Notamacropus eugenii: one gene and its partners. The main gene of each other region encodes a partner of the protein of the gene in region 2 in a complex. Links are inferred from orthologs where the notes say so. Each region holds a gene or a part of one and is shown on either strand. Other genes may lie near its edges. The genes, in order: FRS2, NTRK2 and NTF4.

Region 1 (3,745 bases), on a different chromosome or scaffold from region 2:
TATCCAAATCTAACCTGCCTTCTAACCTTATCCTCTATCCTCTTGTATAGCTCAGAAACTTCAGTCTTCACACACACACACACACACACAAAAAGCCCACAAAAAACCTCCCCAAAAACTACATACAACTTATGTTCCTTCCTTAAAGACATCAACAGTAATCTTCTGTTCCAGATTCATAACAGAAATAAATTTAGTTTCTTTCTCCACTTCATAAACAAGAACTCAATGCTGTTGTGACTTCCATCTTTTTATATAACTTGTGATTTTTTAACTTTTCTTCCATTAACTCAACTGGGCTTTGCATTTTCCTTCTTTAACACTATATACACATTTACTGCAAATGGTTGGTTTTTTAAAATGTCATCTGTCTTTAAGCTGTTGACTTTTCACAGTATTCTTTGAAATATATTGAAATTAGTGAGAAAATAGACTATAATGTATTTGCTAAGCTTTAAAGATTAAATGCAAACATGATATTTAAGATCTGCAGTGCAATACGATCTCCAAGGCACTGAAAACTAGTGTCTTGCTTCCAAAATGAAAAAAAAAATCAATACAAAACTTACTGGCTCTCTAAAATTATACCAAAAGCAGTTTCCACCTATAATCTGCCTGTCAGAGAAGTTTCTAGTAAATGCACTTATATAAAGTTTCAAAAGCAGAGCATCACCTCAAAATGAAATTTACCATGAAAAATATGATCACATCTATTCAATTCGTGTTAACCTCTGTTTTTGCACACCTTATAACAGTTTTATGAAAAGTCACACAAGTCCATATATAACAGGCCCAAATAGAAAGCATACAAAGATAAAGGCGAACACATAACTTCTAAGTTCTCTATAATGTTGACCTAAATTTCAGTAAGTGTATCAACCACAGATTAAGCTCAACACTTTTTTGTTTCTCTTTTTTCCACCTCAGATGATTCTTCTTAATGCTTCATTATTTTTTTAAAACATCACTTTCACTTTCCAGGAACACCTCACCCCATGGGCTCCCTCCCTCCCCACTTCAAACAAAGCAGTGCGGTTAAGGAATACACACCAACCCACTATACTGACAAAAATCTGACAATGCAGTTAGACCTCATTCCACATAGGCGAGAGGAATGTTTTTGCATTGATCAGTGTTCTGCTGATCACTGAATATTCTTGGGCAGCCACAGGAATTCAGAGATTAGAGGAGAAACTCGACAACAAAGTGCAGGCGCCTACCTAAACTACTCATTTTCGCAAGAAAAAGAAATCTGTTTTTTAAGTGTAGTGAGTAAAACTCCTGAAAGGAGCTGTTTAAATTTAACGCAACCCGAACCAAACTCTGAAGACAGTCCAGGACAGCTGGAAGCGCAACATCTCCTTTAAGGCCTTCGAGGGATCCGAACCCCAAAACACAAAACTTCTTGATTTGCAGAAGTTTCCCGGTCCCCTCGGGCTACACATCGCCTCAAAGATGGGGGATCAGGGAAGCAGCCACATCCACCTTCCATTCGGGGATTACGAATGGGAAAGGAGACTGAGCAAGGTGGCGGTGATCAAGGAGAAAAAGGGGGTTCTGCTTGTCCCCCGAAACTACTCCGACTCTACACTGCCCGTATCTCGTTTGTACACAGTTGTTTGCAGGTTGTCTGCCCAATTAGACGGGGAGATCCCCGGGGGCGGGGCCTGTTTTTTGCCTTTCTTTGTATCCCCCAAGTTTAGCACCGTCCCCAGCGGGCCACCGGCATTTATTAAGCGCCTACTAAGTACGAGGCACGGGGCTAAGAGCTAAGGATACAACGAAGAGGAAAAAACAAACAAAGCCTGGTGCCTGCTTGGAATAACTGCTGATTTGCCTAGGGGGAAGCCAAACTCCCACGAGACGTAGCCCCGGGATCCCCGCTTCAGCCCAGGCGCCCCGCCCCCCCGGGCCCAGGTCGGAGCTCCCCCGGTGGGAGCTCTCTGCCCCGAGCTTTCCTGCGGGGTCCAGCCTGGGGGAGACCCCAAGACGAGGCCGCCGCCGCCGGAGAGCTGGGGAGGCAGGGCCCCTGCATCCCCCAACCTGGGCACGGCGTCGCTTCCCCCCAACCCCCCGCCCTGGCCCTGCCACTTACTTTGCTCCATGAGCGCCGGGACAGCGGGGCGCGGCTCAGGGGACGCCGAGCCCTCGGGCTCCTTCCCCGGCTAGAGGAGGCGGCTGTACCCCCCGCGATGGAGCCGCAGCGGCGGCGGCGGCTACAAGGCCTCACTCTGGCCCAAAGCTCAGCTGAAGTGCTTCCGGTTGAGGGGGTGGGGAGTAGGGAAGGAGTCTGGCACCGGAACTTCTTGGGGAAGAGTGGGCGGGGATTTGGAAAAATGGGCGGGACCCCATGGGGGCGGGACCTCGGTTGGGAAGGACCGGCACCTGACGTCAGGGAAGGGGCGGGGCCAGAGCCGAGCCCGCGGGGGTTAGGTGGGGGCACCCTGGAGCGGCCTGTTGGGCGTCTCTCGGGATCCCCGGCCCAGGCCCTGGGGAGGCGTGCGTGGAGTGTCCCGGCTTCGCTGCGGCCTGGACCTCGAGACTGCTGTACCAGCGGGGACCTGCCCGCACCTGGGGCTTCGCATCCGCAGTTAGAGCTGGAAGGAGCCTTGCAGGGAGATCACAGAGTCCAGGGGTCCTTAACCGGCAGACCGGGACTTGGAAAAATTTTTGATACAATTTAATAATACCCCTAAATCAAGTTCCATTGATTATCCATACTTATTTGTATTGACAGTTGTTACTGATTTACAATGAGTCATCAAGTTTGGCTTATTAAATCCACTGATAATAAATCGATATTTTTCAGATGAACAATTATTGGTATTAAAGTACCCGGATGACCATTAGTTGTGACTTATATTGTTTACTTTGATCCATATTAATAATTATTAATGTTTATTTGTGTATCAGTTTACACCAGTGGTCATTAATAGGCATTTTTGTTAATTATTTACATTGATTTCTATTAATAATCATTAATGGTGATTTATATAATAAACATAATAAATTTATATAATACACAATGGTGATTTATGTATATTAATTAATGTATGTTGGTCATTATTAATCGCAGTTATATCAATTTGCATAGGTGGTCATTAATGTTAATTTCTACCAACCCTTATTAATATTAATATATGCATATTTATTAGTATGAGCAGTTGTTTATATTAATACACATTGATGGCCATTAGTAAATAATTTATGCTATAAATTGCTTACATTGATTTATATTCATCAGTAATGTTGATTTATATAATCATTTTAAATATTACTTTATATTGATCATCCTTAAAGTTAGCAATTCTTGATATTAATTTACATTGGTAGTCATTAATAGTAATTTATATTAATAATTATTTACATTGATTGTTGATCATTGTTGATTAATGTAATCAATATTAATCTATATGGATCATTATTAACATTATCATTAATTTACAGTGACTGTCATTAATGCTAGTTTATATGAAATTGTTAATATTAATCTACACTGATAAGCATTTTATTGTTTATTATTTTTATTTTATTAAATCTTATTATTTATTAAATAATAATATATCATTATGGTATTGATTTTATTGTTTAATACAATGTGATTTATTCTGTGATCCTATTTTTTTTATATAGCTTTAAAAATATTCTGAGAAGGGCCCCATAGGTTTCACCAGACTGCAAAAGGGATCCATGACACACAAAAAAGGGTTAAGAACCCCTCATCTAGTCCAACCCTTTCATTTTA
Region 2 (3,745 bases):
CATTAGGATGTATTGGCTACATATTTGCTCTCATTTGTAGATGCTAAAATAGTTATTCTTTAAAATAATGTTATTTATTTTTGAGGTTTTACTCACATTTTGTTGCCTGGTATTTCTGTCATCACAACACCAACACAAAGTCAAATGTGAGATTTAGCACCATGCTAAAAAAAGGGAGACTTTTTTTCCAAAATGATTTTACATTTACTACAGTGACGTTCAATAACATATTCAGTGAAATGTCACTCAATTCATAATGAGACCTTGTATCCACTAAGAGATAAAAATGAAAAATTGCCCAGTGAAAAGAAAAACCAGGTAACATGGTATAAGTTTTGAAGGTCAGACAGACTCCTTCAGGACTGTTTTGTGTGTTTTTTTTTTTTTTACTTTCAAAGACTAATATATTTCAAATGATTCCGTATTGTACTTTACAAAGAAGCCTTATTAACTGTTATACAGATGAAGAAAGTAAGGCAGCAAGGGGTTAACTGATCGAGGCAAGGTCATACAAAATCAGGAAGCAGATCAAAGAATTGAACTCTCTCAATTTTCAAAACTTCCAGGCCTCAGACCTGACCAATAGAACTGAAAGCATTCCTTCCCTAAGTCTTTATTCCTGTGCTGTCCTTACTATCCCACCCCCCACTTCCCTGCATTTCAAAGGCTTTTACAAATCCAAACGGAAATAAATCATAGAAAGCAATCAGTAAAACGCTTCTGTGGAATGATAATAGCCATAATAGCTTTGTTTAAAAGAGACTTTAATATTAAAAAAAACTATTGTGGATAAAAGAAAGTTTTAGATATTAACTCATTTCAGGAGCTTCTATACCAATGAAAATCAAGCTTATAGAATATTGGTCAGCTTTCTTGTCTCTCTCCTTTTTTTCAATTAAGAGCTGAAAAATATTAACTAAAGGTCAAGATCCTTCAAGATGTCTTCTTTTCCCCTTGGACACTCCAGAATCAAGAAAAAAAAATATATTTTCAAATTGCATATACTTTTTGTCCTCTTTTTGAGGAGGAAATAGTCACATTTAACTCTATTTTGGTAAAGGCACATGTACCTTGAATGTTATACTAACACCAAGAAACTCCACAGCATCTGCAATAGGATAGCTAGCCTACTTAGCCTTCCTTTCCAGCTATGTTTCGTCCACTATACCTGTCAAAGAAATGGAGATCTTATAGTATTAAGTAACCTTTCCCATTTGGCCCTCATTAACAGAATACTTCAACTAAATTAGGCCTGAAAATTCTCTTTCTTTATGATGGAGCTTAAGAATAAAGGTGCCTTGGAATATGTGAATAAGCAGCAGCCAACCTAGGAAAAATAATTTAGGAGAACTCCATACTGATATTCAAAGACTATTTCTCCCCATCACATAAAATATTCATATATATTACCAGCCAGAAGGCCTCTGCCCAAACCCTACTTGCAAGAGATCTAAAAATTTTAGTCTAAAAATCAAAAAATAGGTAAGGGGTAAAGATCCTATTACAGATTCCAGAAGGAGTCTAACAGAGGTGATCAAGGACTGGGTAGTAGAAGAGACTGATCAGGTACAGCTTAGCAGTGATTTCTGACAGGACAACATGGAATGGGATGCGGGGATAGATAATCTGGCTTCCCAACAGAATCCGAAAAACTAGAAAATTTCTAGTGTTACTGTTCTTATAGCAACACTCATCTGTGCACTAACACAGTTTTATCATCCAACTTATTCCCAGGAAATTGTTCAATGGGCAATTAAGATTTATAATCTAAATGGTCTCAAAATTATATCTCTGGGAAGTCAAGTCTAAATTAAATCAAACCAGGCTTTTAGGCTTCCAACTATCACATTTTCCCTTTTGAGCAAGTGCATTTCAATACATAGAACTTCTCCTCTTACAGATCATTTTCAAAATTGTCCCTAGGCACAATCTCCCAGGCAAAATTTGATCTATGGAAATGAAATATGAAAACTGGTTAACTCCAAAACTCAAAGAAGGGATACTAACCTCCTACAACAGATTTCAAAAAGTTAATTCTTTTTTTCCAGGGGTCTCCACTGCTCTAACTTCTTTTTTGCCTAATACACATGCTAGCTTATTAAGAGCTAATAGAACAATCTGAAAAAGTAATGCAAATCCAAGCATAGACACCTATTGTATATGAAATGAATGTACAGGTCCTTGAAGAGGAAAATATATATTACATGGCATAGAGATATAGATTTTTTAAAAAGCCTTTTAAAGGGAAAACATTGCTCTCCTGATATATCCTTGATTAAAGAAATGGATAAGTTATTGATAGATGGATCTAATAATCAGTTGTTTCAGATGCAGGTTTGGGATGCAGTTCACCAATAGAGGGTTACCTGTCAGGTCACAGTTTGGGGGTAGGGTGATGGATAATGCAGGGAAGGTGTATTTTGGCTAAGGAAGGAACAGAAAGTAGCAAATACTTACATTTCCGTGATGTTCTCCGGGTCCGGGCTGTTTGGTTCCAGCCTTGGAAAGGCCACGATACCAGGAGAAGGATTGCTGCACCAGATCCGAGTAGTACTGCATGTGCAGGACGTGGGGCAAGCCTGGGAGCCCCTCCAGAACATCAGAACCAACCAGCAGAAACCCAAGAGCCGCGCCATGCCCGGTCCATGACCCTTCTTCCAGGACAACATCCCTAGCCACTGAAGCCAGCCAGAGCTCAAATGTTTTCTACCCCCCCAACACACCCCCCACCCCGCCCCCCCGCCCCCCCTCTCCAAGCGCCTCCTGCTGCCCCCGACCGGCCTGTTCCCACGGGGTCGTTCTTAATTTTCCTCCCGGCACTCCGTGCGTCTGTCGGGTCCCGGTGTGCACTGCTCAAAGCTGCGGGAGCAGCTGGGGCATCTTGAGCCACTTCACAGGGGGGCACTACTGGAGATGCTGGCGCTGTTGCATATCCACGCGCCTTCTGTGGGTGGGGACTCAGTTGCCCCCCGGGGGCTCACGCCTGTGCCAAATCCGGGATGAAGACAGCGGGACTGAGTCTTGAGCAGAAGGAGGATATGAGGTGGAAGATATGGCCGCAGCACCTTGAGGCTGTGAGGCAAACAGATACACGGATGAGGTGGAGAAGGAGACCAACGCTGCTTGTGACGGACATGCTCCCTCCCACAACTCCATCCAACCCACAGTGCCACCCCTAGGGGTGGGTCGTGGCCCCGACCCCTGGGGGAAAGGAGATCCGATGCCACTCGCAGTGGGGATGCTCCAGTACCGCCCCCCCTCCCCGCTGCGGGCCGTGGGGTGGCCACTGAATCCCCAGCAGCCCTCAGACCCAGGTACATTGAAGAACATGGGACACCCCTCAGCGACTTCATGCCGGGCTAGAGAGGACGCGGTTCTGGGGCAGAGCGGAGCTCCGGCCTCGGAAGGCGGCGGCAGCGGCTTCGAGACGGATCTCCCCCAGATGATGCTGCAAAATCCGCAGCGGCCGCGGTGCCAGCTCAGGGAGCGGGGAGCCAGGGCAGCGGAGCCCCACGCAGCGCAGCCCCGGCGGCCCGGGCAGGTGGCTGCGCCAAGCAGTCCTACCTGGGGGAGCCGCCGGGGCTGCTCCCTCTCCGCTGCCCCCCTGCTGTCACCCTTTGGGCAGGCAAGGAGCCGAGCTAGGGGCAGCGGCCCCAGGAGCGCCAGCTAGCTCCTCACCCAGACAGACGGAGTCCGGCGGCAGCGGCGGCGGCGCCTCTCGCCCGGCTCGGTGCTCCCCGCGGGA
Region 3 (3,745 bases), on a different chromosome or scaffold from region 2:
TCCCTTTCAAGGCTTCAGTCTTCCCCTGTGTGAAATGTGTCAGGTTGGACCCGGCGATCTCTAATTTGAATGGAGATGAAGTTCTCGGCTATGAGCTTCCATGAACCCCGGTCAGCCAGGGGAGCTCCTCGGAGCCCAGGGAGTGGGGAGGCATTTGCCCAAGGTCATACAGCGAATTAGGAATTAGGCCCGCCCGCCAGCCGTGGCCCGGCTGAGCAGGGTGCACACACAGGCTGTGTCAATGCGGATCCACCTCCAGCCCACTCGGCCCTGCCCGTCTGCAGTAAGCGCCCGAACGTAAGACTGCTTGGCTTTGCATTCCGATACCCAGTGTCTTCGGTCCACACCACGACAGCCTGCCCCGCCTCCCGGGCCCCCAGCCGCTTTGCATCGGGTCTCAAAAAAGTACTGGCGCAGGGGACCTCCCCCTGCTGCGGGCACCTCCCCCAGGACCTCCACCTCCCGGCCCCGAAGGTCCACAGCCGTGCGGCGGTCGGTCACCCAGCCGCTGACGGCGTCGCACACAGCCAGCTCACCCCGACGGCCAGCCTCCGCTCCCGCCCCAGCCTCCCGTCTGCTCCGGTTGGCTGGGGCTGCTGCCAGGGAGGCCTCCAGGAGAAAGAGGAGTGGGGGCCCTGAGGGAGCCCCCCGAGACAGGGCCACCCGTGGGGACAGCAGGTCCCACTCAGGTCCTGGGAAGGGGGGCAATGGTGGTAGCTCCTGTGGGGCCACGCCGGGTAGGACCCAAAGAAGAAAGAGGAAGAGCCAGATGTGGAGCGGGCTGGATGGGAGAAACATCTCTGTGGCCACCTGGTAAAGAGAGGGGCGCTGGTCAGTGGGGCAGCCCTGGAGCCAGAGGGGAAGGCTCGAGATCCAGAGATGTCAGGGCGGGGCAAATCCTTGGCCCAATCAAGACCTCCAGACGCCCCCAGCTGCAAGAGGAAGACGTAGGACTCTGATCGCTAAGCCCCCTTTCATCTCTAATTCGGAGCACAGAGGGAAAAGGGAAGGAAGACCAGCAGGGGAGGGTCTCGGGCTTACCAGACTTCTCAGGGCCACCTCCTCCTGAGCCCTGGGCTGGGGGCTCCTGGGCTCTGAGGGTCCCTTGTCAGGGTCTCTCGGGGCCCCCTCCTCCCGGCCATCCCAGGAGAGGGACAGGGGGGCGACCACCTAGGAGAAAAAAGAAGGGAAACTTGGAAGCAAATGTTCCCCGTGTCCCCCTGAAGGACCCAGGCATCCCCTCCCCCAGACCAGGGCCCTCTGCGCAGGCCCCTTCCCAGGTGACGGGAACCTGGCCGGGATGGGAAGCAGATGTCGGGGAGGGGAGGCGGCTGATGGATGAGGCTCAAGGACTGGAAAAGATTATATCCCTCACGGCCCATCCATCTCCCAGACAGCGGAGGGGGCTGGGGGACAGGAAACCTGGGTCCCCAAGGAGCGCAGGCTGGGGGGATGGGGACACCAAGATCCCTGAGGGGGCGGTACTGGTGGGGGGCACCACGGACAAGGAACTCTAGGGCCCTTGGGGGCAGGGACGCCTAGATCACAAGGGGGAGGGGATTGGGGGTTGGACGCCTGGACCCCAAGGGGGCGGGAGCTGGACTCCTGGGTCCCCGAGGCGTCTCCTAGGAATGTTCCCTCAGAATTGGGACAGGCCAGGACCCGCCCAGGACTTCAGTTGCACATACCTGGAGCTGCCGCCCGGGCGGAGGCGGGCAAGGAGTCGGGGTGGGGGGACGGAGGGAGGGAGGGAGGGAGAGAGAGGGTGGGAGCGATTTCTAGTCCTCCCTGGGAGACCCAGGAGTCCGGACTCAGCCCCCGCCCCCTGGCGACCCAGGAGGCCCGGCCCAGCTAACGGGGAAAAGGGATAGAGAAACAAAACGGATCCCGGTTCGAGCCTTCTAGTACGCCTGAGTAACTCCCTCGAACTGCTCAGAGATTGAGCTGGGCCCTGCCTGCCTCCTGCCTCAGTTTCCCCGCCGGGTCTTGTCCCCAAGCTCCTGCAGGGCCCGCCCCCTTGTACCCAGGGCGGGCCCGAACTCCTGGATCCCACCCCATTCCCTCCTTCCCGACATTCGGCCCGGACCTTACTTGGGACACCCGCCTGCGCTTGGGGCTCTGGCAGCCGCTGCTCCCTGGCGCCGGGCTCCGCGCGCGGCGCGGCCCGCTCAGGGACAGGGGGGTGGGCGCTAGGCTAACCCCGCCCATCTGGGGGGAGTGACCAGCAGTCCCGCCCACGTCGTCCACCTTGGCTGCTCCGAGACCCGGACCGCCGAGGAATCTGGCCTCAGCCTCCCCTCCCCCTGCGCCGCCTCCACCCGACACTCCGACCCCCCCTCCACCTTCCTAGACCCAGGCGTCCTGGCCCCAGCTTCCTTCTCTCCTGTGCCAGAGAAGTGTCAGTCGGGGCAGCGCACCCCCCCCCCCCAATCCTATTCCAGGCCTTTCCCAGAGGGAGACACAAACCAGGCGCCCCGGGAAAGATAAGGTCCCAGACAGAGACAGAAGTGGGGAGACAGGAGCCCCATTTCCCTGGCCAGGCCCCAGGCTCAGTCTCAACCTTCCCGGGGGCGCCCCAAGCTCTGGAGGGAAGGAAGAGAGTGAGAGGGGGAGGGAGGGCAACAGAGAAGGCTTGAGTGGGCCGGACAGAATGGCAAGGCAGGCAGAGACAGAAACAGATCAACGCAGAGACGTAGAAATTCAATTCAACCAGCATTTATTAAGGGCCAGCTTTTGGAGCCAGGCTCTGGGGATGTGGTGGTGTGTTCCTGACCTCAAGGGGCTTGAAGTCCTGGGTGAGGGGGGGAGATATGTCATATACACAGATGAGAGATGAAGGCATAGACACACACAGAGATGAGGAAGATTCACAACAGAGAGACAGAGAGAAGGAGGTACAGACAGACACCAAGAGACCCAGAAGGCTGGGGACTCCTCTCCTCCCTTCCCCCCTCTGGCTATTTTTAGGTGACAGACATTGGACACCCTGGCCTGGGGGCCATCCCAGCCCTAAATTTAGGCTCAGTGCAGGCAACTGGGTGTCCCCAGGTTGTGGTTCTCCCACGCCCCCCCCCCCAGACTGGGTCCCCCTTCCTTTTCTCAGCCAAGGGCAACACCAGTGGAGGGGAGGCTAAGGCTGTTTATTTGGAGAACTGGGTACATCCCAGCCCTACTCTACCCCCACTAGAGTTCTTGCTCCAGGGCAATGCCTCCATGACTTCCACCCTGCCCACCCCCCCGAACTCCAACCATAGTTTGACTGCTCTGTCCTAGTACCAGAAGGGAATTTGTGAAAGCATCTTTGCCTGTTTCTCCCTCTCTCCTCTCTCCTTCTCTCTCTCTCTCTCTCTCTCTCCCTCTCCCTCTCTCCTCCTTCTGCCTTTGGGTCTTTCCTGTCTTTATCTCCTCTCTATTTCCCCCTGTTGCTCCTGGTTAGGCCCAGTATCACTTAGGGATATTGTCAATACCCAGATGTATGATTCACTTGGATGGAGGGCTGGAAAGTTCTCTCCATGTCATACTTCCTCAAGGCCTGTGGCTCAGAGTAGCTGAGGAGGGGGCAAAGGAGGCCGGAAGAGAAAGACTGAGGGAGACAAGGGAGTGCCTCAGCTTGGGACCATACAACCTAAAAGACCCAAACACAGTTCAACCCACCAATCAACCTAGCACCATGCAGAAAAGCTATACAAACCCCAATAAAATCATACACAGACCCTTGGCAGCTCATGCAGTAGGGCTATATGTA

The links.
Region 1: the proteins of NTRK2 (region 2) and FRS2 are in contact, whole or in part, in an NMR structure (PDB 2MFQ), measured with the Homo sapiens proteins. The link is inferred for Notamacropus eugenii from reciprocal best matches to the Homo sapiens genes NTRK2 and FRS2. Residues at the interface, in NP_001018074.1 of Homo sapiens: Pro498, Asp499, Val501, Ile503, Gly504, Met505, Thr506, Lys507, Ile508, Pro509, Val510, Ile511, Glu512, Asn513, Pro514, Gln515, Tyr516, Gly518, Ile519; in NP_001036020.1 of Homo sapiens: Val26, Asp27, Asp28, Asp29, Gly30, Tyr59, Leu60, Cys61, Leu62, Arg63, Arg64, Tyr65, Gly66, Tyr67, Asp68, Ser69, Asn70, Leu71, Phe72, Ser73, Gly77, Arg78, Ile86, Ala88, Lys90, Phe98, Gln102, Met105, Gln106, Ser109.
Region 3: the proteins of NTRK2 (region 2) and NTF4 are in contact, whole or in part, in a crystal structure (PDB 1HCF), measured with the Homo sapiens proteins. The link is inferred for Notamacropus eugenii from reciprocal best matches to the Homo sapiens genes NTRK2 and NTF4. Residues at the interface, in NP_001018074.1 of Homo sapiens: Phe291, Glu293, Thr296, Ser297, Asp298, His299, Cys302, Pro304, Thr306, His335, Val336, His343, Gly344, Cys345, Asn350, Thr352, His353, Met379, Gly380, Trp381, Pro382, Gly383; in NP_001382418.1 of Homo sapiens: Gly81, Val82, Ser83, Glu84, Thr85, Ala86, Ser89, Arg90, Arg91, Gly92, Glu93, Leu94, Ala95, Asp98, Ala99, Ser101, Gly102, Trp103, Thr105, Tyr135, Phe137.

What each region holds. Positions count from the first base shown.
Region 1 is NC_092874.1:246,987,088-246,990,832, reverse strand, and holds the start of FRS2 (fibroblast growth factor receptor substrate 2), read right to left. Parts: upstream 2,232-3,745; 5' UTR 2,096-2,231; intron 1-2,095. UniProt on the Homo sapiens protein: Adapter protein that links activated FGR and NGF receptors to downstream signaling pathways.
Region 2 is NC_092872.1:75,596,049-75,599,793, reverse strand, and holds the start of NTRK2 (BDNF/NT-3 growth factors receptor), read right to left. Parts: upstream 2,711-3,745; 5' UTR 2,670-2,710; coding exon 2,458-2,669; intron 1-2,457. UniProt on the Homo sapiens protein: Receptor tyrosine kinase involved in the development and the maturation of the central and the peripheral nervous systems through regulation of neuron survival, proliferation, migration, differentiation, and synapse formation and plasticity.
Region 3 is NC_092876.1:12,362,375-12,366,119, forward strand, and holds NTF4 (neurotrophin-4), read right to left. Parts: upstream 2,257-3,745; 5' UTR 2,209-2,256; coding exon 2,092-2,208; intron 1,171-2,091; coding exon 1,042-1,170; intron 811-1,041; coding exon 184-810; 3' UTR 56-183; downstream 1-55. UniProt on the Homo sapiens protein: Target-derived survival factor for peripheral sensory sympathetic neurons. May promote ameloblast differentiation and subsequent reduction in proliferation of ameloblasts.